Alligator mississippiensis: one gene and its partners. The protein of the gene in region 1 interacts with the protein of each later gene in a pairwise test. Links are inferred from orthologs where the notes say so. Each region holds a gene or a part of one and is shown in the gene's direction. Other genes may lie near its edges. The genes, in order: GOLGA2, PKP4, RITA1 and CUL5.

What was found.
Region 2: the proteins of GOLGA2 (region 1) and PKP4 interact in binary tests that used the Homo sapiens proteins (3 or more experiments, as listed by UniProt). The two-hybrid records come from large-scale screens. The link is inferred for Alligator mississippiensis from reciprocal best matches to the Homo sapiens genes GOLGA2 and PKP4.
Region 3: the proteins of GOLGA2 (region 1) and RITA1 interact in binary tests that used the Homo sapiens proteins (3 or more experiments, as listed by UniProt). The two-hybrid records come from large-scale screens. The link is inferred for Alligator mississippiensis from reciprocal best matches to the Homo sapiens genes GOLGA2 and RITA1.
Region 4: the proteins of GOLGA2 (region 1) and CUL5 interact in binary tests that used the Homo sapiens proteins (3 or more experiments, as listed by UniProt). The two-hybrid records come from large-scale screens. The link is inferred for Alligator mississippiensis from reciprocal best matches to the Homo sapiens genes GOLGA2 and CUL5.

What each region holds. Positions count from the first base shown.
Region 1 is NC_081835.1:57,572,641-57,580,542, forward strand, and holds the start of GOLGA2 (golgin subfamily A member 2), read left to right. Parts: upstream 1-4,838; 5' UTR 4,839-4,886; coding exon 4,887-4,937; intron 4,938-5,167; coding exon 5,168-5,299; intron 5,300-6,119; coding exon 6,120-6,200; intron 6,201-7,902. Other genes in the region: DNA repair protein SWI5 homolog, read right to left, coding at 134-222. UniProt on the Homo sapiens protein: Peripheral membrane component of the cis-Golgi stack that acts as a membrane skeleton that maintains the structure of the Golgi apparatus, and as a vesicle thether that facilitates vesicle fusion to the Golgi membrane.
Region 2 is NC_081827.1:222,273,518-222,281,437, reverse strand, and holds the start of PKP4 (plakophilin-4), read left to right. Parts: upstream 1-4,862; 5' UTR 4,863-4,970; intron 4,971-7,920. UniProt on the Homo sapiens protein: Plays a role as a regulator of Rho activity during cytokinesis. May play a role in junctional plaques.
Region 3 is NC_081833.1:26,042,373-26,050,132, reverse strand, and holds RITA1 (RBPJ-interacting and tubulin-associated protein 1), read left to right. Parts: upstream 1-4,764; 5' UTR 4,765-4,800; coding exon 4,801-5,009; intron 5,010-6,237; coding exon 6,238-6,787; 3' UTR 6,788-7,245; downstream 7,246-7,760. Other genes in the region: ATP-dependent RNA helicase DDX54, read right to left, coding at 674-715, 1,314-1,363, 2,399-2,587, 2,744-2,814, 4,254-4,380, 4,506-4,637. UniProt on the Homo sapiens protein: Tubulin-binding protein that acts as a negative regulator of Notch signaling pathway.
Region 4 is NC_081824.1:437,106,065-437,114,050, reverse strand, and holds the start of CUL5 (cullin-5), read left to right. Parts: upstream 1-4,942; 5' UTR 4,943-5,142; coding exon 5,143-5,166; intron 5,167-7,986. UniProt on the Homo sapiens protein: Core component of multiple cullin-5-RING E3 ubiquitin-protein ligase complexes (ECS complexes, also named CRL5 complexes), which mediate the ubiquitination and subsequent proteasomal degradation of target proteins.

The sequences.
Region 1 (7,902 bases):
AGAGCGCGCTGCACTGCGCTGCACCACCCAGGGGGGCTGGGGCTCACCGAGGGCCAGGCACCCCCCGAGCCCAGGGGAGGGAGCAGTGGCCCCAGCAGGCGCGGAGCCCTCGGGGCAGGGAGGGAGCTCGTACCGGCGCGGGAATGGCCGCAGCGCCGCGCCGCGCTCCCCGGGCTCGCGGGCATCCAGGGCTGCCCGCGCGGTCTCCCCGCCGCTTTGCATGCTGGGAGCTGTAGGGGCTGCTGGGACTTGTAGTTAGTGGCGGCTTGACGCCGCTTTGAATACCGGGAGCTGGTGGCCCGTCGCCTGGGGAGCCGACTGTAGGGACATGTAGGCTGTGGAGGCCTGGCGCCGCTCGGCCCGCTGGGGCTTGTAGTTTCTTGACCTTGCCTGGGGCTGGCAGGGCGGGGCGCGGAGGGTTTCTTGCAGCCTGTCTAGGGGCTGGCAGGCATGTTGGCCTGGTGAACCGCTGCCAGGGCCTGGATTCTCCTCTGGAAGAAGGGGGAAGGCTCGAGCTTGCTCCTTCCCTGTCACTTGCGTTTAGGGTCCTGGAATAAGCACAGGATAGAAGCAATGGGCTGAATTCAGGGGCGGATCTGGTGGGGGGCAGTTGCGCCCCCCTTCCCTTTGATTTCTGCTCTACCCAAACTGTAACACCACCTGCCTGGGAGGGGCAGTGGCATTTTGGGTCAGGCAGCACTGAGTTAATTGACTTCAGCGCTCATGATCATCTACCTGTTTCCTGCTAATGTCTCTTCATCCCATAGGTGTGAACGACCTTTTTAATGGTCTTGATGTTCCACTGTGCAACCTATGTTTTCTTCTGCAATGCTGCAGTCTGTTTGCCATTCCTGGTCCTGTGTCTCTTCTATTTCACAGCGCTGTAGATTGGTTTTAGCTCTGGCTAAAAACCTTCACTTAGGTGTGGTTATATAATCTCAGGTGTAGACATGACCCCCAGTGAAGTGCTGAGGTGCTGTCAAGGCACTCAGGAAAACCAGGTTTTGTTCAGTGAATCTAAAAAGACATGGACATTTAACTTTCAGGACTAATTAAAAAGCATCTTTTAACCTTTTTTGCCTCATTTCTTGTGTTCTTTTTAAAGCGTTATATATAACCCAGCAGATTAATGCACATTCCAATACAGATTTGTTTGTTTTCACTTTGATCTTAAACTGAAAAATAGAGCACGAGGCCCCTAGCAAACTAGTAAAGCTTCTGATTTCTCTTTAGCTGGAGAAAAATAGATGTTATATGTGATGATGCGATGCACCAGCTACACCCCCCTTTTTAAAATCCTAGATCTACCCCTGGTTGTAATGGTGCAGTCCTTGTGATGTGTCCAGCACTACTACAGTATATATAACATGCACTGAAAGAACCTGCTAGGAGAGATTAGAGATGTAACCAGCCTGCATGCAATCTCTCCTAGCAGGGGGTATTAGATAGAAACCCTCACTGTCTGCCTTGTGACAAAAACCACATTGCTTGAGTATTGCAGAACCAGCCTGCATCCAATCATCATGAGCGTAGGCAGAAACACTACACAGACTGAGATGGTCACACAGTCGTGCAGATCTTTTCCATCTTTATCTTGCATGATCTTTATCTTGCATTCAGCTTCCTTTTATAAACAGCTCCCACTCCGATTTAATTTTGAAAAGGTTCTGTACTCTGCCATCTCTAAATCACCTTCAGTTAGCAAAATATACCAAAGATAAGATAAGGCCTGGTACTAGACGTGTAACTGTGGCTGTTTGGGTAATAGTTATTATCACAGAATCATAGAGAAGTAGGGCTGGGAGGCGCCTCCAGAAGTCATCTAGTCCAACGCCCTGCCTGAGGCAGGCTCAGCCCTATCCAAACCATATATTTGAGTCCGCTGTCTAACCTCTTATTTGTTCAGAGCTAAGACGTTATGCGAGTCTCACACAATGAAGTAAAAGATTTAAGATTTCTGAAGTGCAAGACACAAGAGTTATTTTTCAAAGTATGCAAAATCCTACTGACTGCTATTACAAATCAAGTTTAAAGTTTACATATTAAGGAAGAACAGGATCAAGAATGTGAAGATGAGCTCGTAAACTCACCTGTACATGTTACTTGCTTCTCAGTGAATTCAGAGAGCTTTACAACATCCATTGATGTATAACTGGGAGAGAGACCCAGAAGCAATTATTTCATTAATCCTCCAAAACCATGCAACTTGTAGGAAGAAACACTGTGGGGGGCTATGTATCTGTTGTCTAACTCTTCATGTCTACAGAGCTGGCATGAGCACAGCAGAAACAGAGAAAGCTGGAAAATTACATCATAGTAGTTTGACAGCTCTTCAAGCATTTTTCTTGACACTTGAGGCTTGTGTCAAGTGTTTATTCTTACACTTCAAAATTTGAGTTGCTCTAATAAAAAATACCAGATTTACCCAAAGAACTTTGTCTCCCTATGTCCTTAAATCAACACAGCTACAACCTATACCCCTGTTACATGTAACAATACTTATCATTTAGGTAGTGCTCATCTTGGTGTGCTTGACTAACATTCCCTGCACAAATAATTAGTCTTCATCACATAAGTGAAGCAGGATAAATCGATTGATATGAACATACTATTTGCTAGCTTCCCTGAGAAATTTTAAAACAAAAATCAAGAAGACAACCTGTCCTGTGGTATCTATTTCATTTTTAAATTTCTCAAGGCTTAGAAAATATACCTGTATCCAAGCACTTTGTTTTTAACAAAATTCATTTTTTGTAACTTATTGTATTCTACCAAAGTATTTCTATATATTAACTTTGACCTGGAAGGCTACAAAAATACTTTATAAACAGCTGATATACAAATGACATATTTTACCCACCACTGAAATGCAGCAACCTCTGGTGTAAAATACAAAGATCTATTTAACAGCACAAAGTAACACCCCCACAACAGTTAATAGTAAAAAATATTTATTTCCATTGGAAACAGCATCCGAAACTTTAGCTGGTGCAGATTATAACTATCCAAATAATTATGAGGACAGGACACCTGGGTTAAAATTCCAATTCTTACAAACATACCATAACTGTTGTTTTTTTCAAAGTGGTCAAAACCTAAATATTGCATTTCATCCAAAAGGCAGCATCTCTTTAAGCACAAAATCCTTTAATAGGCTTGAGAAGCTGACTCAGAACTGAGTCTCAAAGGAAAAGAGTGCCATCATCACCACCCTTCATACAGCACACGCACCATACCATGTCTGACTGGATTCAATGGTGACTTAGAAGAAAGGGAAACACCTGCTGCAATACCACCACTTGCAGCCCTTGAGCATTCCTCTGAAATCTTATGCCCAAGTTTAACCCTGGTGGAACACACATCTCAACATCCCAACTGGACAAAATGTCCAATACAGGCAAATACTAAAAAAACAGCAGCTGGCTGAAGGAGAACCAAAGTTTAAAATGAGTCACATTTCTCAGTGCTTGAAAACCTGAACCACACCCAATTATACAGATGTTTACATTCCTGTTCTCACTAGTGCTTCTCAATTTCTTCTTGCAATACAAACCCAGGGCAAGACAAGAAAACCATTTGCACTGCACTAGGCACATGTCAGGAAGAGCTTCCTTCCTGTCTTTACCCCGGTATAACTGTGTGAGCATACCGCATGTGCAGTGGTGACACTCATCTTTCTCTGAAACATTACCCCTGAGGAAATGCTGGAGGCAGTGATAACAGATTCAACGGACTACTGACCTGATCTGGCCTACTCCGCTTAAAGGAAATAAGCTAAAGGAGGGAGGTCCAAGAATTCAAGATTCAATCCAGAAAAAAAAGCAACATCCTCCACACACCATGAATCCCAGAGGCAGGGCTCAAGCATGATAGAGAAACCTAGAGAGATTTGACAAGACTGGATAAACACCAGGTTAAATTTGTAAGGCACAACTGTTTCCTGGAGAAATTAGCCCGGCACACAGCTAAGAATCACAAAGGGTGGGACCTCCAGAGACCATCTAGTCCAGCCATTCACAAACTCTGAGAGATTGCGCACCGCTAATTTAAAACGATGCAACCTTCAGTACCACCGGCACATTTTTCAGTTCAACCTTACGTACCATCAGCAAATTTTGTCGGATAAAGTAATGATAATAAATCTGTTAACACGTACCGCTGACAGGTGGTCTGCGTATCACTGGTGGCACCCATACCACAAATTGGGAACCGCTGATCTGGTCCAAACCCCGCCTGAGGCAGGATGAGTCCTGTCCAAACCATCCTATACCACCCACCACCTCAACCCCACAACCCTAACACTGTACGAGGCGACCCCTGAACCTGCTTCATATCCCAAAGGCCCAAGGGAGAGACCTGGGCAGACGGGGCAGAGATATGCTGCACAGATCCCAGGCAGAGGTGTGACTGTGTCCCCTCACGAGCTCACCACCGCCATGAAGCAGGATGAGGCCTGGGTGTGTCTCCCCCCCAGCCCTGCCTTTCTCCTGGCAACAAATATGGCATATTTCCTTCAGGACCTGGAGGCATTTTGCCAGCAACCCCCTTTTGAGCCCTGTGACAGGTGCCTTTTCCTAAACAAGGAGCAGGGGGTGGCCGGAGTCCCCGCGCCAGGGGAGGCCCGAGGAGGAGCCCAAGGCTGAGAGCACACCACACCGCGGGACGAAAGAAGCGGGCCGCACGCATGCGCACGCACTAGGGAGGGGAAGGGGAACGCCAGCGCGCATGCGCACGGGGCAAGGGAGGGAAGGCGCGCACGCGCACGCGAGCGGGAGAGGCGGCGCGCACGCGCATGCGCACGCGCGCGGGGGCGGGCACCGCCTGCCTGGTTCCTGGTGCCTGGTGTCTGGTGCCGGGCGGAGCCTGCCCCCGCTGACGTGGCGGCCATGGCGGACGGCGGCAGCCGGCAGAGCAAGCTGGCCGCGGCCAAGAAGAAGGTAACGCCCCCACCCCCCGCTCCGGCCCCCTCCTCGGGCACCGGTGACCTTGGCCGAGCGGGCGGGGCCGCACCAGCCCCTCCCCCCGCGGCGGCGGCTGTCACCGGGCCCCCCCCCCCCCATTTAAACCTCTGTTCCTCGAGCCACCTCGGCCTCCCCTCCCCCCCCGGGCCGGGCCTCGCCCCCCCCCCCCCCGGGCCTGGTCCCCGGGTGACGCGCCTCCCCCGCAGCTGAAGGAGTTCCAGCAGAAGAACAGCCCCGGGCCCGTGGCCGCGGCCAAGAAGAAGCGCAAGAACAAGGAGGGCAGCCGGCCCGACACGCCGACCGGTGCCGACGACAGGGACAGGCCGTCGCCCGAGAACGTGAGTGTCCCGCGCTTGCCCGGTTGCGTCGTGATACACACCGGGGACGGATGGGGTCCGCACCCCGCAGCCGCTAACGGGACCCGGCGCCACGGGCTGGGGCCGGGTCCGCTGGCGAAGCCGTTCTTGACTCCAGAGTGCGCAGTGTGGATTTCATAGATTTCATAGACATCGGGGGCTGGAAGGGACTCGTGAGATCGAGTCCAGCCCCCACCACCCTGCCATGGGCAGGAAGTCAGCTGGGATCAAGTGACCCCAGCAAGAAAAACATTGACATGGATGTGAGGGGTCGGGGCACACGAGCAGTGAAGGGACTGGGCTTGTTTGGCCTGGAGAAGGGAAGATGAGGGGTGAGAGCCGCCTTGGACTCCCTGAAGCGGGGGTAACGAAGAGGATGGCGGTTCTCAGGAGTGGCAGATGACAGGACGAGGAGCAAGGGTCTCAAGTTGCAGCAAGGGACATTCAGGTTAGCGATGAGGGAGCACTTTGTCACTAGGAGAGTGGTAAAGCACTGGAACAGGCTACCCAGAGAGGTGGTGAAATCTCCATCCTTAGAGATTTTGTAGACCCAGGTAGACAAAGCCCTGGCTAGGATGATCTAGTTGGGGCTGGTTCTGCTTTGAGCAGGAGATTGGACTAGATCTGACCTCCTGAGGTCCCCTCCAGCCCTCATTTTCTAAGATTGATCCTATGTTTCGACATCCATTTCGGTAAAGGGAGAGTGAATGCAAGGTCCTTTGGTTGCAGCCCACCTTTTGATTGGTGTCTCACTCTGTCTTTCTGAGCCATTTCTCTTTCCACTTTCTTTCACTTCCTTTAGATTCAGAACATACTGAAGGTGCTGGTGTCAGACCTTAATCGATCCAATGGGGTAGCCATACCCTCATTGGACAAGAGGAAGGTGAGGCAGTGTTCGGCATCCCTCTGACTAGTTTGCTGTCCTTACTGCATGCTTCAAGTTCTCTTTAAACTGCCTCTCGATTTTTTTGGATGAAGCTTCATTCAGGCATATTTGTTGTCAGTTGCTTGAGTTTTGTTGCTGTTTTCATTAACCTTGAGCTTTTTTTTCCTTTTAATGTGCCTCTTTGTTGCTCCTACTTGTGTGTTTCCTTCTGATTTGTGTCACGTTTAAAACGCAAAGATGTGAAATGTACCAGCTTCCCTTAAGATAGACTTGTGAGATCAGGCAGTTTGGAATTGTATCGGGGATCCTGGGTGATGGTATGAGTAGTAAACACCTCGCCACTCCTTTTCCCCATACACTTTGTTCCCACAAAGATGCGGCATGGGGCATATAAAAACATTGTTCAAACTGGGCCACAGACTGGGTTTATTTTCTAGATCTGTGATCTTCCTGTTTGCATGTCGCTGTTTTATTTATTAGTGCCTCATCTCTGAAGGACATGTTCTTGCTCATCTCTAATCAAGCAGTTGCCCTAAGTAAACTGTGTAGTTATTCCAGCCAGCTCATTTTGTGACAGGTGATGAAATTTGCACACGTGATGCAATCTGGCAAGTAGCATGGTTTTAAATCTGTCTAGGCAGGAAGTCAGATACTTTGTAGCAAGTGTTAACTAGCTCTAATGTCTTCATGTTGCCTGTAGTTCTGGCAGCAAAGGGACTGGGAAGATTCTTATCTATAATAAAATACAAGTATGAGAGAGCAAGCTTCTACCAGCCTTTTAATTTTCAACATGTTTCATAAAAGTAGTCTCATAAATTAAAGAAGGTTAAAATGTTGATAGAAACACAGAAAATGCAAAATAAAACATGATGATTCAGGAAGTACTTAGTTCTTGCTTTCCTAAAACCTCAATTACCTATCAACTTGTATAGTGTCCACAACTCTCTTCACCTTAAGCTTTCAAGTCCAGCATATCATTATACCTGCCTTGCATCCTTTTCTTTTTGCTCTACCCATAGATATAACTATGTTAATCACCAGGTGGAGTAGAGGACTCTGCTGTGAAACCTGCATGATGTGATAGATAAAATAAGACTTTCAGTAGTTTTCCTTGCATATTAATGCAGCAGCTCTCCCATCAGAGACTTGCAGTGCCTGGCACAAAGCTCTTGCAAGTGGGGTATTTCTGTGGGATGTTATATGGGAGAGCAGCGCTAGCATGGTAAGAGCACTTGACAGGTGCTTTCCTGTGGGGTTGAATGCAGCACGTTGGAAATATAATTTATATTAAGCTTATCAGATGGACACATCAGAAAGAGAATTGATGCTTGTTCAAGGACAGGTTGAGGTAGGATGTACGAATAATTTTTCTGTGTCAGTGGCTAATCTCAAAATGAGGGCCTAATCCATACCTGCTGTGTTTGTGCTGTTGTGAATATGGAAACGTTACTCTTCCATTAGTCTTCATGTCCCAAGTGCCTTTCTCTGCTTTCTTTGCATGCACCAGTGCATTTTGGACTGAGTAGCTGTTACAGATTTTCATCCTGGAGGCTGCAGATAACAATGCCCAGGGCCTCAGACTGATTTCCAAGTTGCTCTCTCTCTCATTACAGACTATACTTCGAATTTCTCTTCCCAGTTGTCTTGCTGGTAGAACTCCTGAGTCAGGGAAACACTGCTTTAAACACTCACCCAATGC
Region 2 (7,920 bases), on another chromosome or scaffold:
TTCTGCTAAATACTTGCTGTGTAGCATGGATCACTTTAAGTGCTAAGCAATTCTAGTGGGTTGGAAGCAGTACTTCCAAAGTAGTAGATTTGCTTGGTACCCTACAGTGTTCTGCGGAACTGCGCTCAGCACCCAGTAGGAATGAGACTGCAATGCTCAAGCTTGATTCTTCAACAAAGCAAGAAACTAAATTAAGAAGTAACTAGGTGACAGTATTCCTCAAAAATGATTTTATATAGGCTGAGAAATATGGTAACCAAATAAAATTAAGTAGAATAGTGAGGTATGGCACCATTTAAAAAAATGGGAAAAAAATGCTCACTGAGGAAAAAAAAAATGTCAACTCAGTGTTGTGACATTATATTTGGAAAACAAACTTCTTATTAACTTGGATTTATTTCACACTCACTATTTACTGCATTTTAACCAACTGTGGTTTACAAATGAGCCAAAGGTGTATCATAATAGTTTCAATTGTCTTGATTTCCCTCTATCTCCATTCCCCCCCCAAAAATATTTAAAATCATTTTAAAGCAAACTAAGTTTTAACGAAAAATAATTTATATTTTTTCTGTTGTGAATGCTAAATAGCTCTTCATTTGTTCAGATGCACTCTCTCCTCCAAATACTTAAAACATATTCAAATTCTTGTAACTTCAGCATCTGAGTTAGACGATAGATAAAATAAATACAGCTAAGCAAAACCAGAAGAACAAAGCAGAACTGTTTTCAAGACTGCTATTTATCTTTATAATCCTTCCTTTCCAGAAAGCAGGTCCTATGTAGCTACTACTCTACCTACTTATGAGCAAAGGTACTTCTCTTGCTCTCATTCAAATAAGAGATTCCAGGTAGTTGTGAAAAAGTAGAAGTATCAACTGACATTAAAAACTGGTCATGCTAATATTCTTCAAGCACCGAGAACATCTGTGAAAGCCCAAGTTGGAATCTGGCTTTAATTCCAGGGCAGGTTAAATGAAGCAGAAAAACATTAATGATTTGAAAGATGCAAGAATCATAGCAAGAATAGAACTGTCAAATAGCAGTCAACTAAACTTCTTGTCCAAAAAAGTGAAAGATACAATGAATCCTGGCAGAGATCAGATGAAGAGGTCACAGCAATCCAGGTAGCTTTAAGAGGGAAAGGACATATACACTCAAAGATTCACATAGTATTTGCTAACAAATACAGTGGAGGCAAGGTCCTTTCCTAATGGCACTGAGACTGTAAAAAAATACTCACAAATCAAATCCTGAAGAAGGCACAAGAAGAATTAAAGGATGAAAGCTTAAACCAGACAAATTCAAAATAGAAGTGCTGCCAGGATTTTTACGAGTAAAATTATTAACCATTTAATTGCACATCAAGGAAAAGGGTAAATACTTCAGCTCTTAATATCTTTACATCAAGTTTGGATTTCTTTATAGAAGATATTTTGACCTAATAACTTATCTTTGCTTCATATAGAATCTTAAGCTAAATAAACAAGAGGGATCACTGGTTTTATTTTTTAAATACATGAATGCATGAAAGCTTGCTTAATAACTATTCTCCAACCATTTGGGTTGGTCTAATAAAAGATATCAAATTCACCCAAGGAACCTTGTCTGCCTATGTCCTTAGACCAACATGGCTACAACCTAAACCCCTGTGACTATGACTAGTTATCATTAACTTACTGTGTTTCACTGGTAAAACAGAAGTGCTTCAACACCCTTACAAACCTAATGGAACCTCACAAAATAATTCCTTGTCTTTCTATTACTTCCAAAGAAGCCAACCCACATCTAGGGTGCCTACAGATGTTTACGGCCCCACTCTAACTCGTGGCACTTTATGTAAAGTGCCATGAGTTAGAGGCCCTGCCCCAACAGAGGGGTAGGGGCTGGAGCCTGCTTGCCCTGGCCAGCAGATGGGACCCTGCCTCTCCCCTCCCCTCAAGCTCTGGGGCTATCAGTGGGAGAGGGAGGAGGGGGAATGGGTTTTTGCTTTGTGCTTATTTTATCCAATAGGCTTTCTTTTGCTTTAATTCTGTGGGTCTAAGATAACATGACCGGGGAAACTCAGGAAAATAGAGATTTACACAAAATACATGCATCTTTCTTTCCCTAAAAAAAAAAAAAAAAAAAAGCCAAACAGGAAGTGCTCCTCAGGTAACAGGGAACATTTTAGCACTTTTCCCAGTCAGAGCATATATTAAAACCTCTTATGATTTGAAGTTTCTTACAGTATGTATTTCCATAACCAAACAACATATACGTTTCATTAGTTTTCAAAGAAAAAGAAATTAGACATGTCTATCTTCTTCTTTAGATGGTATGGGTTGATTTTTAGGTACCCACATACAATTCTGACACTCCAAAACTTTGGGAGGTCTGAGTTTGGGACTGGGTCCTGCCACTGTCTCCTTCCTATCATCTAGGAGGAAAGAGGCACGTGAACCCACATACAGTGTGTTAGACACTACAGGCTACAACTCAGCTGACTGTCTACCTTCCCCACTAACTGGAGGTAGGATTTCTCACAAGAGTTGCTGCCCTACAAAGTTGAACTTAAAGCAGAATCTCTTAGGCTTTGGGTCTCAAGATCAAGTAGAAGAGGAACTCGGGCTTCAACACTACCAGCAGTAGAAGTCACTCTCCAGAGTTTTGACTCCGGTGAAGGGCTGAACATATGCAAACAATTGATTTATTCCCTCAGGACAGAGTTGTCTTTTGGTTGTTCCATCTTATGAACTGTAATTTAGACTTTTCTGATTAAGAGAACACACATTTCTGAACAGCCACCTCGGCCATTGCAATGGCTTCCTAGGTGCTTTATCCTTCTCCTGGACTTTTTCCATTTCTGTACTTGCATAAGTTTCCCCAGCATTTAATTCACAGCCACTCGGCCTTTTACGAGTGTCCCTTCACTCCACTAGGGCTGACACTAGTTGAATGCTCTGATGTGCTTCAGTGTCCACAGTAAAGGAAGGCACTGAACTACTCTGAGAAGTTACCAGTAAAAGCTAAGCCAATTTGATCATTCAAGTTTTGCAGCAGTTTGCCTGCATTGATTTAATATTGATGTAGTTAATCCAGTCATCTTTAGCAACTATGACCAATTAGCTTCTGGAGGGACAGATATTTCTTTTCTTTCCCTAGCACCGTTTCTATTACTCCTCCCACAATTGCTACTCCATTTTCTACTCCCCTTTTCTTTTCTGGTACCTCTTCTCAGTTAACTTGCTTTCCTTCCTCTTTGCCACTCACCTTTTCTTTAATCATGTTTCTCTTCTCCCTATTGACTCATGTTTCCTCCCCCTTAACCTTGCTTTCTTACACATGTGGGATTTCACAGATTGAACACTTTGGGCCTGATTCTCCATTGCCCTGCACTTTGGATAGTCAGTGACACTTCTGCAATTAGGCCACCATTCTGGTGTGGCAGCGTCAGAAAGGCATCTGGAACTGTGAAGAATCAGCAACCCTATTTATACACACCAAGTTATTCCCTGCAGATGTTTGATCAGATTTCTTCCTGCTGACTCCTTTAACCTATGGCAATAACAAACACTACAGAGACAAAAAACTTATAACTGTAACCAGGAGGAAATACAGAACCAATCGGTATATCTATTTTCAGAAGCAAAAGGTGGGAAGACAGAAATCACATGTGCAAGAGATGCCCCTCCTCCTTCAGAAATATAGATGACTTTACTCAGGGGTCAGCAATATATGGTCCACAGGCCACACCTGGCCTCTGCAGCCATTGGATCCTGCCTGTAGAGCCAGGGGGCCTTGCCCACAGCTGTGCTGGGCAGCAAGGAGCTGAGCCAGGATCAGGTGGAAAGGGGTGAGCTTGTGCTGCACCTAAGGGGTAGGGAGAAGAAGCAGAAGGGAAGAGCGGTGGCAGGGTTGGGACACTGGCCCACCTCAGACCAGACCGAAGCTTGATTATTTCCACCAGGGGCTCCAAAAGATTGTTATCTGCCGCTTGACATGTTTAGCTATTCCTTGTCTTTCAACTGCCATACAGTAACCACCCAAGAATAAGGTGAAGGACATAGCCACAGCACAGAAAGACAGCTAAACACTTACCCCAAAATTCAGTATAAACACTGCTTATTACTCACAGGAGTAGCCTACACCTCATTAAGGCCTGCGGCCTTGTTTTTCCGGAGTGGCCTAAGTCTTTAGTAAGGATCCTGGAACTGACAAGACCTCTAGTTTTAGGGGCTCCCCAGGCCTTGATACTGAGGGAGCCAAGTCAGTTTCACCCATGAGGGAGTTAAATAGATACAGCACGACAATTTTTACCAAGGAGAGCGAGAGGGGGCCCAAGGCTTAACCACTTCGGTGTTTAAAGGTCACAAAATATCAGACATTAAGTCAGTCACTGATTCAGGTCTGGATCCCAGGAATTTGGGGAAATTAAGGGAAACAGGGGAGAAAGAAAGGGAAAGAGAGAGAGAGAGAGAGAAAGAGAGAGAGAGACGTCTCCAGCAGCAGGATTTGAGACTGCAGCGGCGGGGGGAGATTGGACGGAGGGCAGCAGCGAGGAGGGATAGATGCAGGTAAGCGCGGCTGGCTCAGTCCGCCCACAGACCCGCAACCGCCTCCCCCGCACGGACCCGCAACCTGCCGCCGCACACACCCGCGCCCGGAGAACCCGCAGCCCCTTCCACACAGCCTGCTCACAGCATCGGTAACCCTGGCAACCTCAAGTCACCGCCTCATTGGCTGATTTCACACGAGGCAGCGACCAATGGCGCGCGGCCCTGCGCGGGGCTCGGCCAATGGCGGCGGGGCACGGGGCAGGGCGTCGCGTGACGCGCGGGGCGGGGGGCGGAGCCAGCGGGCGGCCAGGAGTGGACGCGGCGGCAGCGGCGGCACCATGGAGACCCCGGGCTAGGGCCGGGCGCGCGGCGCGGCGGGGGCTGCGCTGGGCCCGTCCGCGCCCGGACCCCGCCGGCGCCTGCATCTGCGCGGTGAGTGCGGCGGGCGCGGGGACTGGGCGCCCCGTCCCGTCCCGTGCTGTCCCGTCCCTTCCCTTCCCGCTGCCCCGAGGAGCCTCCTCCGGCGCGGCCCCGTGGCCAGTGCTCGGCTCCGCAGCCCGCGCTGTGCTCGGCCCCCGCGTGCGGCCGGGCACGGGGCGGGGCGCTGCCGGGCTGGGCAGGTGCGAGCCGCGGCTCGGGCGGGCGCAGGAATGCGAGGAACGCGCCGGGAAGGAGCCCGCCCGCTTCCCGCAGCCGCAGGGCCCCGGAGCATCTGCCTGGCGGCCTCCCCGCCCGCCTGCGCCGCGCTCAGGTTAGAGGCTCGCGGCACTTGCCCGCCATGAGATCAGTCCTGGACTCTGCCCCCCCCCCCTCCTCCCGCGGCCTTTGCTTCCCGCGCCAAGTTGAGCTCCTGCTTGAAACATGCTGGGGCTCCGGGGAGGTCGGACCAGCCTGGTGCCGCAGCGCGGCCTCCCCTAGCCCTTGTGGCTGCAGGGTGTGGGAAATTGCTGTCGGTGCCTGGACACCTCTTGTTGTCTCCTGAATTGCGGCTTTTCATCTTCCTGAGCCGCAGCGAGACCCCCATATCTCACGTCACTCGAAGGAACAGAGAGGCAGTGTTGTGGCAGGGATGGGACAGAGAGGACGGTCTGGCACCGGGAGCTGTGCACGGGGCGTGTCGGCCACCAGCTGAGACAAGGCAGCACCGCGGCAGGAGACCGCTTGCCACCATGTCTTCTCCCACCGTTACGCTCTGTAGCCCGACGGGAGTTTTCATTCTGCTGCTCAAACCATCGTAGCTGCTTCTCTGGGTGTTTGCCAGGGGGTGATTTGGAGCAGGTGGGAGAGGAGCGGAGGAGGAAGAGGTTTTGCCAACTTTGGTAGCAGAATGCTCCTGAGCGTGGTCTAATAGCGGTTATTTTTTGTCTGTGGCTTTTCTTTCTCTGTGAGTTAAAAGGTAATAATTACAATGGTAGACTGTCTTAGAGAAGTCAGGCTGGAAGGGAACCCCAGAGGTCATCTAGTGACTACACTAGTCTAACCCCCTGCCTGAGGCAGGATCATTCCTATCCAAACCGTCCTGTACAATCCATATGTAAGACTGCCATCGAATATGATGCAATACAGACTTGGCACCCTAACCTGCCACAGGTAGAGCAGGGGGACTGCAACAGCCAACCTCTCGCTTTTATGAAATGTCAGTACAAGCTCAAGAGATCCCAGGTAGAAGGCCATGCCTCCACTGCAGAGGAAGGCAAACCCCCTTACAGCCCAGACCGATCTGACCATGGGGTAAAATTCCTTTCTGTTGCCAAACATGGCAATCGGTCTAACCCTTTGTAGAGGGACAAGACCCTGTAGTTGGAAACCTCAGGAGGAGCATTGGCACAAATCAGTCAAAGTCTACATAGCATTTATCTAAAGAAATCATAGTAGTAGCTAAATCAATTCGGGGACTGTTATGCCTGCTGCTGCTTTGACACATTGTTTTGGACAGTTTTGTTACTAGGGCATCATGATCAGAAGGATAAATTTAGCTATTTGGAATCTGTTAATCAGTGTGGAGAGTGGTTAAGAAAAGAGGAATATATTTCTCCAGTAAACTCATAGCATTATTGAACTGCTTTAAATCCAAAAGGTCTGAGATGATTGTTAGTTGCTATGCGTGTTGAGCACAACTAAAGGATTAAATGTGTGGCTCTCTCTTCCCATGTGACAACCACATATCAGTACCCAAATCTTAGAGATATTTTTCACTCCTAAAATATTCCTTGTTGCTGAATATAGGGAGCACAGCTATGGATTTTCCTGCCTGATCAATAAGCAAAATAAACGGAAGAAAAATGACAAATACCTTCAAACAAGCACTTCTGACTGACTGTAATGACGCATGCAGATGTTTTATAGCTGACACATTGTGCCTCTGAGGATGGATTGCATTTACTAGTTTGCCTGTGTGTATACTAATCGGCAGGAGTCATACAAAAAGTGTAGGCATATTGGTAGACGTGATTTAGTAGGTAGAGCATGTCTACCCTGTCTGGATTAGGGGTTCTGAGAGGGGAAGAAATGAAAGAGTGAAACGAATTCTGAAGTTGTTGAGTCTAAGATGTTGCAGCACAAACTAATATTTCTGTGATCAATGGGTGCTCCCAGTGTAAAATTCTAAATTGTGTATAGGAACACTATATTTTTTGCAGGGGGGACAAGTAAGGAGGGAGGGGAAGAATGCTCTTTTTTCAGATGCCAACACACACACAAAAATCTATAGGGCAAATGTACTGTTGTATTTTCTAAGTATGTAGTCCCAAGAAGACTATTCTATGCTTCCTTTCTAATCTTCCTCTACATACTAATATTTTAAACAGCAGTCCAAACCAGCATGTGGTATATAATTATGTATAAAACTAACTGCTTGAAGCAATAGGTGTGGTATTAGTAAAGGTAGTAATATTTTATAATTTGCCTTTAATTCTCTTGATGACTGTAAATTTTTTTATAAATCCTACTTGAAGAAGGGAGACCAGGAAAGGAGAATAAACCTTTTTTTGCCTTATTGAATAGTTTTCGGGGGGAGGTGGGGGGGTAGAATTATTTTTTAATGTGGTAATTATTTTTGGCAATTCTTTTTAAAACTTAAAATTGGAGCATAAGATTATTGGAACATAATACATATTTTGGTGAACAGCATCATCTTGCAAATCACATCTATTCTCAGAGGGAGAAATACCCCAAAAGCAAAAACAAGAACAACCCTGCTCCCCTTCCCACAGTTTTTGCCTTGGAAGCTGTATTAATTCAGTTGTTTTTAAAAAATATTCATAAAGGACACTTGCAGTATGCTACGTGCATTTTTAATTTAGTTGGTTCAATCAATGCACTAAGTATTTTCCAATAATAATTAAATAAGGTCATTCCTACCTTGCCTGACACACTTTTTCTG
Region 3 (7,760 bases), on another chromosome or scaffold:
GTGCAGAGCCCCCCATTCAGCGTGGGGCAGTGGGAATCACCCCCCCACCCAGCAGCACCTGCTGAGTCAGGGCTTTTTTTTTCCCCCCCCAAAGTGCTGGAAACTAGGGGGCAGCCAGGGCGATTCGATTGAATCAATTCGGGGTAGTGATTTGAACCAATGAATCGAATCACTGTCCCCCGAATCAAATACTATCTGCTTTGCACAGGCCTAGTGGGAAACTCTGACAGATGGCCTGTAAAGTGAGTGCATAACTCCTCTGGCTTCCACTGGGCATCTCTGCCCACACCAGGGTGAGTGTAGTCATGCCGAGGATGCACCGACTCTTGGACCCTGCTGTGCACCTTGCATAACAGGCTCAGAGTCTGTAACTGGGACTTTCAGGGGCCAAGGTCAAGGCCACACTTCTGGGAAGAGCCCTGAACAGGTGGACACATGGCAACAGCTCAAGCTGAGTCTCCCCCTGTGCCTCACTCACTCCAGGTAAGTTCCTGAGGAAGATGCAGTAGCAAGGGAGGTCACAGGAGTGCATGTGGGTGGCAGACATGTTTCTCAGAGCTCAGCACTCCCAAACTGGGAAAAGTCCCAGTCAGAGTTCAGTGCCAGCCTGTGCTACCGTTTCCTGCCCGCACATCTAGAGAACACAGTACCCACCCTTGTTGCTCCAACTTACATGTCAGGATTCTCATGCAGAGCTGCAAACTGCTCTTCCATCCTGCAGGGAGAAAGGGGTGGATAATAATGGCCAGCAGAATGCACCACAGCACCCATGGCTTCAGGACTCCGTGCTGGGGCAAGAAAGGGGCACCCAGCTGAGCATCACTTGGAGGCTGTGTACCATACTGCATGGAGCCTCACATCCTCAGTTATATGGTACTGGTTAAGGACAGGTTGCTGCAAGCCTGGAGTCAGACTTTCAGGGATCACTTGGAAGGAACAAGCTCAGCAGTGAGTGACACTTTGCCCAGCAGAATACTCCCCCTGACCTAGCCTGCAGGGGCTCTCACCCTGTGTGTTTGTACACATGTAAATAAGATCAAGGCTGGGGGGAAGTTCATCCTACATGCAGGGGATATCAGATGCCAGTCCAGAGCCAGCTGCTAGTTCTCTAGATACACTGTACCCTTAGCCCAGGTCAATGCATTGCTAGAATTGAGCCAGGCCCAACTTTTTACAAGTTTCTACTACAGTTTGGGTGAGTCTTAGCAGAAACATTAGGTTAAGTGTTTGCAGGCATTTCTTGGCCCCACCAGTGCCTGGGTTGAGGCAGTTCCACCAGGGCTATTAGTTTGGTTGCAGTGTGATGGGCTTACTTGTCTCCTCCCAGAATCAGCGCAGTCTTCAGGCCTGTGAATTTGCCCAGCTGCAGGATAAGAAGCAAAAGAGAGTTAAAGCGCAGTCTGATATCAAACCACCTATTGCTCCTACTCCTCTCCAAGCCCATGAAACATCTTCAACTGCTGAGGTCCCCAGGGTGCAGGTGGCTTGACTGTAACTACAATCAAGCTGCCTACTTTCTCCCTCTGGTCTTGTTCCTCTTATATCCATCTGCTCGCTCTCTCTCTCTGAGCACTGGCTGGTCTGGCTTTAACCCTGGCTGCCAGAGAGGTCAAGTACACTCCCTGTCACTCATGGGATGCCCACACAGCAACTCCAGGAAGTGCTCAAGAGAAATGGCAGCAGCAGCCAAGCCCTGCTTAACCAGGAAGGCTAAGGAAAGATGGGCCTTTGGGATCCTTGTTAAGCAAGTGAACTCTGAAAGCAGCCAGCACCCAATGTTTCAAAAGGGATGTTGCAAGGGGGTCAGAGAGTGGACAATTACAGAATATCTGGCCTACAAGGAAAAATTCCCTCTTAATCTCAGATAGTTGCCCAACACCCTGCTCATAAAAGTGGCTCCCTCTTTCTTTCTTTTTTTTAAATCTAGTTCTGCCTTATTCAGGTTCTTACATGCCCATACAACTGAAAGAGAAGTAGGGCTAGAAGGGACCTGATAATTAGGTCAGCTAGTCCAATCCCCTGCTCCAGACAGGATCCTAGACAAGCATTTGCCTGACTGTTTTTAAAGACACTGAGAACAACCTTTTCATACAAAGGGCAGGCACAACACCAAAACACCAAGAATACCTTAATTACCCACAGGTAAAGCAAAAGGATGAGGGCAACCTCACTACGGTATCTGTGAACATTCTTACTCTACTTATACAATCTTCTTATGCTCTTGGCTTCAATGATATCCCATGGCAATGAGGTTAAGTGTCATGCAAGAAGCCCTCCCTCACCCATGGCTGCAGCGCATTGCCTCCCTGTATTACTACAAGTGCTCAAGCCCTGACAGCGAGGGCTCCTAGCTATTCTAGCCCCCATCTCAGCAGGGGCTGCTTTTCCTGGACCATACCTCCTTTGTGAACTTCATGGTCTGTAAGGCGAGCTCACGAGTTGGTGAGAGGATGAGGGCACGTGCTCCTGTCTGCGCGCTATGTGCCTTCAGCTTCTCAAACATCGGGATAAGGAAACAAGCTGTCTTCCCGCTGCCCGTCCGGGCCATCGCCACCACATCTTTCCCGTCTAATATCACTGGGATGCTCTGCAGGATAAAACCAAGAAACACTGTTGATTCACCCTATGGAATCCATTCCAGATGTGCTGGGGAACCTGCTCCACCTGCGACATTGGACAAGTCTGTGGAGGCAACCTAAGGAAGCCAGTGAACATACCATATATCTGAGAACCTGTCACTCACCTTTCTCTGGATGGGTGTTGGCACGTTGTATCCCTTTTTCATGATACCTTTGAATACAGGATAGCTTAAGCCTAGAAGACAAATATGATCATGTAAGCACTGTTCAATTTCTTTATCAGCGATTTGGATGACACGGTGAAAAGCAACCTGTTCAAATTTGCTGATGATACCAAAATATGGGGAGAGGTGGGCACATTAGCAGGGAGGGAGAGACTGCAGAAAGACCTAGATAGGTTGCAGGGGTGGGCTAACAAAAACAGGACGCGTTTCAATACGGACAAGTGCAGGGTGCTGCACTTGGGCAGTAGTAACCAGCAGCACACTTATAAGATGGGAAACTCCCTTCTTGAGCGCACGGAGGCAGAAAGGGATCTTGGAGTCATTGTTGACTCCAAGATGAACATGGGCTGACAATGTGAGGTCACGGTTGGCAGGGCTAACCGGACCCTATCGTGCATCCACAGGTGCATCTCAAGTAGGTCCAAGGAGGTGATCCTCCCCCTCTACGTGACACTGGTCGGGCCACAGCTGGAGTACTGGTGTCCAGTTCTGGGCACCCCACTTCAAGAGGGATGTGGACAACATTGAGAGGGTCCAGAGGAGGGCCACCCACATGATCCGGGGACAGCAGGGCAGGCCCTACAATGAGAGGCTACGGGACCTGAACCTGTTCAGCCTTCACAAGAGAAGGCTGAGGGGGGACCTTGTGACTGTCTATAAACTTACTAGGGGGGACCAGAAGGGTTTGGGGGAGACCGTTTCCCCTAGCGCCCCCCGGGATAACAAGGAATAATGGCCACAAGTTGTTGGAGAGTAGGTTTAGATCACACATCCATAAGAACTACTTCAGTCAGGGCGGCTAGGATCTGGATCCAACTTCCAAGAGAAGTGGTGCTGGCTCCTACCGTGGGGGTCTTTAAGAAGCAGCTTGATGCCTACCTGGCTGGAGTCATTTGAGCCCAGTTTTCTTCCTGCTCAGGCAGGGGGTCGGACCTGAAGATCTGCAAGGTCCCTTCCGACCCTACTTCTATGATTCTATAAGTAAGTGCCCACTGCAGACCAAGAGCACAGTACAGACAGCTCCTGTGACTTCAGTGCAAGCCCTGTAATACTTGGCCTTCTTTTTTCAAGCTCCAGTGCCTGGAGTCCAGTGACTAGATGGTGACCCTGGCTCCTACCGACAAGAGGCATCTAGGCCCGATAATTGTACATAAAAGCTCATGAACATGGTTTGGACTCAGGTGAATGCAGGGCCTATGGAGGTTTCTCTGGACCAGAACTCATGAGTCTGCGGAGCCAGGCAATGCTGGAGGCTCGAACTGTACCCTGCTATGAGCCTGCCCGCTCTCTTAACAAAAAATGCCATAATGCAGCTCTATAAAAAACAACAGCCCAGAGGCCAACAAGGCACAGGCCTGAATCAGGCTGGTACCACTGGCTCCTCCACGAGGCACCCACGGCCTGCTCCACCCCAGGGCAACTGCTGCCTGCCCGCCTCGGGGCCGCTCACCCATGGACTGGAAGCCCCCCGACTTCTTCTTCTTCCGGTTCTGGGCTCGCACCATCTCCCTCGTGTCCGGCTCCACGTCCGAGGCGCAATCGGGGGTGGGGAAGGCCGGGAGCATCTTGGCGGACGCCTGCTCGGGGGGAGACAAGACAGTTGTGCCCGGGCCAAGACAGACCGGCGGGGCGGGGGTCTCAGCCCGCCCCGCTCCACTACTCGGGGCAGCCGCCGACCCCTCAGCCATGGCCCCGCACGCACCGGCAGCCCCGCGCTCGCCTCAGCCCCGGCCTCGGCCTCCACGTGGAACTCGCCCGCCTCCTCCTCCTCGCTGCCGCTGCCCGGGGCGGCCCGCACGCACGGACGCCGACGCCGGCGGCGCGGCTGGGCCATGGCTACGGCTGCCGGAAACGGAAGCGGAAGCGGCCGGCACCACGTGCGCGTCCCGCGTGATCCCGCCCCCGGCGCAACCACCGCCGCTGCGGGGGAGTAGGCCCCGCCCCCGGCGCAACCACCGCCGCTGCGGGGGGAATAGGTCCCGCCCACCGCGGCGGAGATGGTGGCGCCCGCGGGCTCGGAGCTGGCGGTGAGCGGCGCCCGCGCGGCCCGCGGCGGCCGTAGGACCAGGGCCAGGACCTGGGCACGGGCCCGGGCGTCCTTCGTGGACGAGACGTTGTTCGGCCGCCCCGCGGGGGCCCGCCCGGCCCCGCCCGCCTTCGAGCCGCCCTGGGCGGCGCCCCCGCGAGCGCTGCCCTGCGCGGGCCGGTGAGTCGGTGCCGGGCCCCGCCGTGACTTGCATGACAGCTGCTTTGCACGTGTGTCCAGTCCACGTTTGTTGCGCGATAAGTGCTTTGCTGCCTGCGCTTGTTGCACGGGTGGCCGGTGCACTGGGTGATCTGCGGGGCCTGGCCCCCTGCCTCGCTGGGCCTGGGGCGTGGTGAGCGTGACCCGTCTTCGCGGTCTGGACGAGCCGCCAGAGGGGCGAGATGGAGAGGACTGGGCGGGCGCCCCGGCCTGTGAGGCTGAGCGTGGAAACGGTGGGGCATTTGGAGAAATGCGGGGAGCAGGGACAGGGCTGGGAAGGGCAGCGTGGGTTTGGGGAGCTGGATTTTCATACATTTCTCGGGTTGGAAGGGACCTATTAGATGATCAAGTCCCACCGCCTGCTCTGGGCAGGAAAGCGCTGGGGTTAGGTAACCCCAGCCAGGTGCTCGTCTAACCTCCTCTTTAACATCTCCAAGGAAGGGGAGCACCATCTCCCTTGGAAGCCCGTTCCAGATTTTGGCAGCCCTCACTGTAAAGAATTTCTTCCTGATGTCCAATCTGAATCCACTCCCGATGAGTTTGTACGCAGCCACGAGATCACCTCTCAGTTCTCTTGTGGAGGCTGAAGAGATTCAGATCTCTCAGTCTGTCTTCATAGGGTCTTACCTGCAGCCCCTCAACCATACAAGTAGCCCTCCTCTGAACCGTTTCCAGGTTATCCACATCCACATTTTGGATGACGAGGATGCCAGTGAGGATAGCTGGAGGCAAGGGAGCTCATCCTGGTTGGTGAGAGGCTCTCTAGTCTGACTTACTGCACAGCCATGTGTGAGGACAGGAGATCTGGATGCATTCCTGTCTCTGCCCCTGACTTGCCGTTTTTGCTTGGCAAGTTGCTTGATCTGGATAGGCTTCTGTTTTCCCATCTGTAAAATGGAAATGACTCCTCTCTCTTTGTGAAGCTTTTTTAGGTGTAGGGATGAGAAATATACCATAAAGGGGTTTTTTGCCTAATATTTCTTTCCTTAAAAAGAAGTTTTTGGGTGGAATTTTCAAAAGTATCTAGTTTAGGAGTCCCATGGAAATTAAGTAGGACAAGTGTGCTTCACTTGCTAATTGCACCTTCTGAGTGATCGTTAGGTCTCTGCATGCAATGGCCACTACTCTATATTCTCTTTGTAGTAATTATTTTCTTCCCCCTATCCCACCCCTTTCTTTCTCAATGAAGGTTGAAAAGTCACTCTCCATCCTACTGTGATGAATCTTTGTTTGGCTCAAGGGCTGACGAGCCAGGCTGGGCAGCACGGCGGATGAAGAAAGAAGATATAGCTAAACTCCATTCCCTCCTGTGGACCCCTTCATCTGTTCCCAGGACCCAGTCAAGCCTTTCCTCAAGCCTTACCTCTTGTTCCAAGGGGACCCCTCTGAGAGCTGTTCACCCAAAGACCCCCAAATCTCAGAGACTAGGCCATTGTGAGACAGAAGGGAAAACCTCTTTCTGGAAATGGCCTGAGAGTGGTCTGGACTCTGTCAGTCCAGGCAACCTCAACCGGGGCCGTTCTCAGTCCCTTACCCAGGTATACAGGCCTTCTGATCAGCTCTGGCTACCTGCAGACAGTCCAAATACAGGCAAGCATCAAAACCAGCGCTCCCTGACAGCCTCTGTAGCCTCCCAGGGTTCTCTGCCAAGGGCTCGGTCTAAGAGTGTACTAGGAATGTCCTCTGCCAGGGTACCCAGGACAACAGCCTTATGCCAGCCCAAACCACCCTGGAAATGAATTTACTGCTTTAAAATATGTATATATGTAAATACACTCATCAACCAACAGTGCATATAGCAAGATGAGAGATGCGTCTCCTCTGAACCTCATGTTATGGCTGCAGGTTGGGGAACCTCCTTTTACCTGATCTGGGGCAGCAGGAAATCATGCCTTATCTTTCCTGTTAGGTTCCAGCGAGGGGTTGTCTTGGCTCAAGCAGGATAAGGAAAGAGACAATTTGCAAGTGGACAAGGAATAAGATTTCTGGGTGTCCTGAAATATGTGGTGCAGCCCTACTTTTTAAAGCATCATCTTGCAAATGGAAGGCCTGATAGCTTCAGTGGGGTTTGGATCCAGCCCTGGCTGTGAGCAGACAGCTGAAGGTTGAAAGAGCGAATTTATATTGAGTGTTGTGGCATGCTGTTGTATCAGCCTTGTGCTAAATGCTTGTAAATAAATGAAGGAGCAGAAAAAAATGTGCCATGTTTCTTGCAGTTTTTAGGGTGGGGATGGGCATTGCTACACCCCATTTCTCTGGCTCAGTTTCAGCCTTGATTACAATGCCAGGTACAGTAGAGATCTTTGGGCTGGTTCTTGGAATCTGGAGGCAATTCACTCTAGTCTTTGACTTGTAGGTAAAGAAGAGTATCTCCTTTTTTGAGGGTTCCAAGGAAACAGAAGACAGCATTTGATGTATTTGAATCCCATGGGAGCAGCTCTGCTGAACAGGAGGCCTGCAACTGAAGGGGCTCCAAAGCCAGGGTTGGAACAAAAGGCTAGAAAGTGAGCAGGGAAATCATCTACAATCTGGTCCTCAGAAGGGATCAGCGCTGCCTTCCCTATTCTTGCCCAAAGAATGTAGATGGCCAGAAACACCAGGATGCATTTGTCTCTAGCCTGCACATTGCTGTGCTGGCATTTTGGCCAGCACAGTTGTGGGAAGAGCGTGAAAAGGGTTCTGCCACTTCCCTCTTGTCTATTTGATCCTTGT
Region 4 (7,986 bases), on another chromosome or scaffold:
CTTCACATAAAGTGTCATGAGTTAGTGACCCCCCCCACATACACAACAGATGTTCACCTGTTGAGTCAAGGCTGGGGGGATCAAACTCCACCTTGGAGCTGAACCAGTGGAGAGGTCTATTTGCAGCCTCCCTCCCCTAGCTCTGTGCTCCACCCCCCTTCCAGCTCCAGTGCTGTCTGCAGGAAGGGAAGGGGAAGAAGGAAGGGGAAGGGAGCTGCAGGATGGGGTTTGCCAGTCCTGAACTGGAGGGGGAAGGGGTAGGGGGATCAGGAGATGGGGGGGAGCTCCAATCCACCCATCCCCCTCCAACTCAGGCCAGGCAAACCCCAGCCAGCAGCTCCCTTCCCCTCCCTTTTCCCCCCATCCTTTCCTGCAGATAGCCCTAGGGGTGGGACTGAGCTGATGCAGCCCAGCCCAATTGCACTGACAGACTGACCCCAGGGAACACAGATTCCCTAGGTGCTCCACTTCGAAGCACCTTCATCTGATCCCTCACTAGACAAGGGTTAATTTGTCATGTGATCAGCCACTTTTAAAGCACTGTGCAGTCATGCACATGTGTCATGGCAGGACTGTCGAGCACTTTCAGGAGGTTGATCATGTGACAACTGTCACTTCTGTCAGTGTCCATAAAGCCTGGCCACCTTGTCTCTAGAATGACCTGCAATAACCCTACAGACTCACATGGCAGCCTCCCAAGGAGCCTTAGAGGAACTTGAAGCAAGACAATAGACTTGTATTACTATAGGATCCTGGGGCAAAATGCTCTCTTCCAGGGCAAAGGGCAATGTCTATTTACATCTAATTGGCCTGAGATAAGCTGCTGGGGACAAGCCAAGAGCAGCCTCACTGGCAAACCTTCAGGTCTGGTCAGCAAACTCAGGTGATTGGAACTTAAGTCTTGGACTGGATGTCGTAATAGCATAGACTATGGAGCTGATTGAGGTAGGAGGGCTAAGAGGGCTTTGGGCCTAATATTGATATCATTCTGGCTACAGGGGAGTGCTGTTCCAGTTTACTAGAAGCATGCTCTGATAGGGTGATATTTAGCCCACTGTGATGTGTTAAATGCATGCAGGGGAAACATTAGGAAGGAATAATTGTCACTTCTAAAGGCTTTGTTTATGGAATTTATATTTAGCTATTAGACAACTTGTTTGGATTATGATTCTGTTAAACAGAGAACAGGCAAAGCTGAGTGAAGTTAAGCAAAGCAAATGTTTATATATTTTTACCTAACTAGCTGGGTTTATGGGTAAAAGATGGATTTAAAACCATGTAGAGTTCCTGGGAATAGATATTATATGTGTTGATCATAGTACCTGCACCACTTAAGATACTGGCTGTAGACCTCTGTTTTTGTAGAAGCTGAGGATCAGCTAAGGCAATAAAACTCTACTTGCAGAGACTTCAGACTGTTTGCCAACAAATTCTGAACTGCTTGGAGAGAATGGAGAAGCTGCAGTTCTTACGCTCTGAAGCTGAAGAGTGCAGATGACTTATACCTTATGTTATAGTCAAAGTGAGAAATCATCTCTGGAAGGAGATAAGAAAGAAATAATGCATTTATAAGGATGTGCTAAACCAGGGCTGGCCAACTTGTGGCATGTGTCCCACAAGTGGCACAGGCAGCCTGTGTGTGTGGCATGCAGCATGCCGGGGAGGAAACAGGCAGCAGAGTGGCAGATAGGTTAGGGAACAGGAGGCAGAGCAGCAGATCAGGCAGGGAACATAAGGCAAGGAGCAGAAAGCAGAGCAACTGATTGGGCAGGGGAAAGGGAATGGAGTGGCACTGGGGAGGATGTATACATCTGCCAAAAAAATTGGTCCTCACTGGGCTGTAGTGTTGAAATGCAAATGTTATAATACAACTTTATATTTAAATACATGGAATGGCTAAAAGTGTGTATGTGTGTGGGAGACGCCAGAATACTAACTGATTTATAGTTTTTGTTTAGCATTATTCATAGACTTCTGGTGATAGTTACTGTGTTTTACACCAGGCATGGCAAACTCATATGGGGCCCTGAGCCAAATCTGGTCTGCAGGGTTCCTTGCAGGCTGGATCCAGCCTGGAGCACAGGGACAACCACCAGGGTGGCAGCAACTGCGGTGGCAGCAAGGGGTCTGGAGACAGCAGTGGCGGATCTGGAGGTGGGGACAGATCTGGGGGCAGGGGTCTAGCAGGAGCTGGAGTTTAGATGCAGCAGTGGGTCCAGCAGCAGGGGGAGTCCAAAAGTTTGGAGGCAGCCACAGCGGTGATCCAAACTCACCATCAATTGGCATGACAAGCTGGGTAAAATGGCCCTGCCATCTGTGGCAGGCCAGTAGTCCAGAGCAGTGGTTCTCAAACTTTGGTACCTTACATACCTCCTGCCAATCAATGTGGCAAAAGCAAAACCGGAAGTCCCACCATAGCACTTCCGGTTTTGCTACAAGCCGAGTCCCACTTTTTCCTCCAGGACCACAGCCCAGGGCAAAGAAGTCTGTGCGAGGCCTCCCTCCCTGTCCCCCGGCACACTGACACTGGGGAGTGAAAACCCTGGTGCACTGAACACGGTGGGAACTTCTGGCCAGAACAGGCAAAGACACCTCCAACCCGCCAGGCGGTGGGGTGGGCCAAACTCAAAACATGGCACCCACGTACCCCCTGCCTGTGTCTTGCGTACTGCCAGGGGTACGTGTACCATGAGTTAAGAAACACTGGTCCAGGGGGCCAGATAGAAAGGATCTGTGGGCAATGTTTGACAACCCTATTTTACATTGTATATAATGTTTTCTGCCTGCATTACTTGTTTTACTAAGAAGATGCATGATTCCCTGTCTTTGAAAGTTGAGTGCAAACTAGTAACATCTAGTTATAAGGGTCCTCTGTAAAGCATTCATCTTCAAATGGAAGAATCAAAGAATGCCTGAAGATTTGCTCTCGTAGTCTATCATTCAGACCCTTCATTAAATGCAAAATTATTTCCTCCTGGGCTCTTTGCTGATGAGACTGTAGTACCTCAGTGCTTCACGAACCTGTATTTATCTTCATAAACATACCTACAGGGTCATGGGGGTATTATCTCCATTTTATAAATGAGGATCTGAGCTACCATGAGAGAAACTTAAGATGCCTAAAGCCTGAGTTCTCAGAGTAATTATAAAATGTTATGTTCAGTGCATAGCTGCCATTGACTTCAGTTCTGGTTGTAAGCTCATAACACTCCTTCCTGTCAGTGATGCCAGTGGTATCTTAAGATGGGTAACTAGAAAATGACCCAACTGTTTAGTGGTCACTTTAGAAAAATGTGGTTTAAATGAGTTGCCCTCTAAGAATCAGGGATGAAATCCAGATCTTCAGACCAGCAGTCAGCTGCCTTAACCACAAGATCACTCTTCCTACTCCTGCAGTGTCCTCCCTCCTTCACTAGCTTCTGCTGCAAACCAGGGAAGAGTCTTACAGACATACTTTTATCATTTACACGTATGGTAACCATGTTTCTTTTAAGGAAATCTGAGACACTGTTTCAAGTAAAGGTGGCACCTCCTCCACCCCGAAGTCAGCAGCGGTGCTGCAGGCAGAGGCCCGCCTTGCTCCTACACAGCAGCAGCAGTGCCTGCCTGCCTGCTGGCCCTCCTGGCTCACCATGCCACTTCAGCTCCCCACCAGACTGCGCCTCACGACCCTGCCCACCTGCCTCTGCCTAGGTGGCTGATTCCAAGACTTTTGTTTCAATTTTCACCAACCAGCCTACGAAATCTGGGACTGTCCCAGCTAAACCAGGATGTCACCCTACTTACTTACACATCGACCATGCATCCCCAGAGTACTATTGAGCCTGTGCCCTGAATGTGGTAGGCACTATAAACAAATAGTGTGTGATCCATTAATAAAGACTGAATCACGCTCTTTAAGCCCAAACAACCAAATTGCAGTTTCATGGGCAACCTAAATTCTGGCATTTTCTAATTTTGGAGCTGTACTGGTTAACATTTTTTTCACCTAAATGGATTTTTCATTAAACAAACAAACAAACCTTTAACAAAGCCAACATGTTTTGTGGAAAGCAGTAACTTGTTTGAAATATTTAAGTTTTGGGAAAAAATTGGGCAAATTAAGTTTTCAGTATCTAAAAATATTTTTTTTAAATCAAAGCCCAAATTAATCTAACAGAAAACAACCATTCTAATTTGAAAGTAACTTGTATTCAACCACAGCATTACCATTCCCAAGAATTTTAAAAAAATGCTGAGTCCTCAGCAAATTATGACCTTCCTGGTTGGGAGACTGGAAGGGGATGAGGTCTCCCTGGGAAAGATGGAGAGGGCCAAGGAGCAATGATAGATGGAGGGGTTCCCTAAGAGCAGGGGTGTCAAAGACGTGGCGCACGTGTTGGATCCGGCCAGTGGCGCCCCATCATTCGGCCCCGGTGCTGCGGTGTTGACCTGGTCTCTGCATGCAGCCTGTACCCGACTGGACCCCACCAGCGGATGCAGGATTGCACGGCCCAGAGCCCACGAAGGAACCAGTACAGGGCTGGACTGCATGTGGGGCCGGCTCCGGCCAGGCCAGGCTCTGCGCTGCACGTGGCACGTGCTCCAGGGGACCCGGGTGGGCACCACACACACATGCAGCGGGTGGCAGATCCGCCCTGCACAGGTGCTGTGTGCAAAGCAGCAGCTGGACCGGGCTCCGCAGTGCGCCGGATCCAGAAGGGCCGGGGGTGCACGGGCCCGACCTCACCCCGCTCACCCCGCCCAAGGCCCGGCCCGACGCCACGCCTGCTGCCGGGGGCGGGGGCGGGGGCTCCCGCGGGCTCTGGGCCGGGGTGCCGGCGAGGCGGCCGCCGGGCGGCAGAGGGCGCTGCCGCCGCCGTAGGCCCCCCGCCCCGCCCCCCCGCGCGCTCCGTGGCGGCGCCGCCTCACGTGCCCGCCCCTCGCATGGAGCCGGGCCGCGGCCGTGTGTCCTGGGCGGGCGCCGCCATGAGGCGCTGAGCAGCGGCGGCGGGGGGGGCAGCACCGAGCCGGCCGCTCCGGAGCCCCGAGCGGAGCCGCGGGGGCAGGGGCGGGTCGCGCGGGGCCATGTAAAGCGGGGGCGGCCCGAGCCCAGCCCAGCCCCGGCCCGGGAGCGCCGCCGCCCGGGGCCCGCGGGGCAACATGGCGACGTCTAATCTCCTAAAGGTGAGAGCGGCGCCGGGCCGGGCCCCGCGGGGAACAAAGAGCCGCCGGGCCTGGCCGCTGCCCCGCGGTCAGCGCCGCCCGCAAGGCCCGGCCCGACCCGGCCCGGGGCTCCCGGCGTGGGGCCCGCGAGCAGGGTGGGGGGGTCTCGGAGCTGTTTCGTGGGTAGCACGGGAGCGGGGGCCGGAGCTGCAGCCCTGTTCTTCCCTGGGTGGCTCCTGCCAACCTGTTACGGCGCCTGGTGCCAGGCGACCTGCGGCCGGGGGCGAGGGGCACATTGCCCTGCTCTCTGCTGGGGAAGGAGCGGCCTTGAGGGCTGGGGACCTCTTGCGAAAGGGCCGAGTCACGGGGGCTTGGCACCCGGAGGAGAAGGGGTGCCAAGTTCCCGGACGGGGGCAGAGGATGTGGCTCCGATCGCTTGACCCGTGGGGCGGGGTAGGGAGTTGCACAAACCTGGTGGTCTCCTGAGAAGCAACGCCAGGGATGTGGAGAGCAAGTTGAGTACTGTTTTGATGAGTGGTGTTTCAGCACGTGGTGTATGGACGGTGTGGTGTGTCACAGTCGAATCTGGCCTGCAGAGGTGGGTCATGCGGCCTACAGGGCTTCTTGCGGTCTCCGGATCCCGCCTGTGGGGCTAGACGTGCGGGCAGTGGGGCAGGCAGCAGTAGTGGTCAACCCCCGTGGCTGCTGTATCAGCCCCCAGGCCGGGGGTTAACACTGCTGTTGCTTACCCTGTTGCCAGATTCCCAACTTAGGATCCTTGCTGAGGATGCAGGTCTGCGATGATGACAGTATTAACCTTCCCCCTTAACTGCCAGAGCTACACTGTCAGAGGAGCCAGTATCCATGGGGGTTAATGCTGCCCCAGGGTCAGATGAGTTTGACACCTCTAGAGTGTCCCATTTGATCATTGCTCTTTCGCCGTGTGATGTTACTTGCAGCGTGCTTGGGAGTTATTGGATACTGACACACTTCCTTTGTGGAAACAGAATTACACAGCCTTTAAGCAGATGTAAGGACACTTGGCCCACCGGATTTGACTGTATTCTACTGGAAAACAATGCTTCTACTAAGTGAGAGAACAGTGTAAGGCATTAACCGTTCAGGGAGCTCTGCATGGCAGCAGGCTTAGGTGTAGCGTGATGACTTTTTCATAAACATTTCATTTCAAAGAACAGTTGCAGTTGTATTCTAAATATACAGTGATGCTTTCTTGGCAAAGGTGGTATAGAAATATGACTGAAAGAGGCATTACTGATGTCTTACAGTGCTTTTAAATAAGTAAAATTAAGTAGTAACTTTTCATCAGAACAGTTGAGAGAGCTTTATAAAAGGCAGCCAAATATAAGGCCTCTTACAAAGAGGAAACTGAGGCAACAAAAACTGCTAAAAGTTGCACAAGAGTTTGATCCAATAAATAGAAACTCCTTCCTGATGCTTAGCAAACTGTTCTCCATAAAGCATACTAGCATGAAGTGAAGCTTGCTTTGCAGTACATTTATACCCTTCCAGAATATGATATGTATATCTCTTTAAACTTTCTGGAAATTGGAGGGATGGCCCTAAAAGATAGGAAAGAAAAGGTCAAGAGCAGGCATTTTTAGGGGACATGTACAGAAGACCATGTGATTGAGTGTGTCAGGTTTAGTTAACCCTACTTTAATCCTAGTAAAGACAAGGCCTGAGAGTCGGTGCAAGCAGGCTGTATCATCGGTACAGTTTCATTGGAGTCAGTAGGGCACTGTATGGAGGGGAAAGTCTATTGCAGGATGGGGTTTAAACTAATTCCTGCCCTTTTGTGTTTCTTTCCCTTTTTAAGTAGTTAATCTCATCCCGTTTACTGGTCCGCTTGTTTGAGCTGTTCTCTTTCATCCCCGTCTCTTGTCTGATCAACCTGGACCACACCAGACACGCATAGACTCTTCAGCTTTCAACTAATATTTCTGGCTCTGTTCTTTGGATACCTCTTGCTGACTTGTTTCTTTTAAGGATTGCCTAAGATGTCAGCAAATAGTTCGTGCTAACTGTAGTTATGTAATGAACTCTTTTGTAGTTCTGATTAATTACCACTTCATACATTTAAAGCCCCACTCTCCTTCCTATTTGCTTTGTGTGGTAACCACTGTAGCTGCACTACCAGTTGTAAGAGTTGCTGGTTAGGACAGGTGGTGATTGATTGCATGTTAGATTTAAGCACTTTTAAGCCATATATCTCGCCAATAAATTAATCTCTTAGGTTGGCACAAGACAGTATTATTATTATTATTAAGTAAAAATAAAAACCCCAACTGCTAGCTACACCAAAGTAATCAAATGTGTGTCTCTTTTTAGGTGTTTACAGGTTTCACTTAGAGACTCCAGCTGAGATCAGGACCTCATTGTGCTGGGCTTTGTATGTACACTGAAGAAGACTCTCCTTGCCCCAAAGAGCTTAGAGATGAAACAGATAAGACAAAGAGTAGGAAGAACAGGCATAGAAGGGTGATGTGATTTGCCTACAGTCCCACAGTAGGTCAGCAGCAGAGCCAAGAATAGAATTTAGGTCTCCTGACTTCTAGGCCAGTGCCTTATTTACCAGTTTCTGTTTTATGTAGGTTCTTGTACTGTGCTCCTTGCTGTCTCTACTGTACTACTTTGCATCATAGCATCATGATTGTAAAAAGGGATGTTATGTTATGTGACATTCAGATTTGGAAAAATGTTTTTATAACTGTTGCCACCTAAAGCCTGCCTGCTGAGTTTTTTATGTGTATGCTATGTAATGCTTGTCAATAAGGAGAGGTTACAAAGCAGTAAAAGGGGAAAAATCCTTTATTAGCAGGG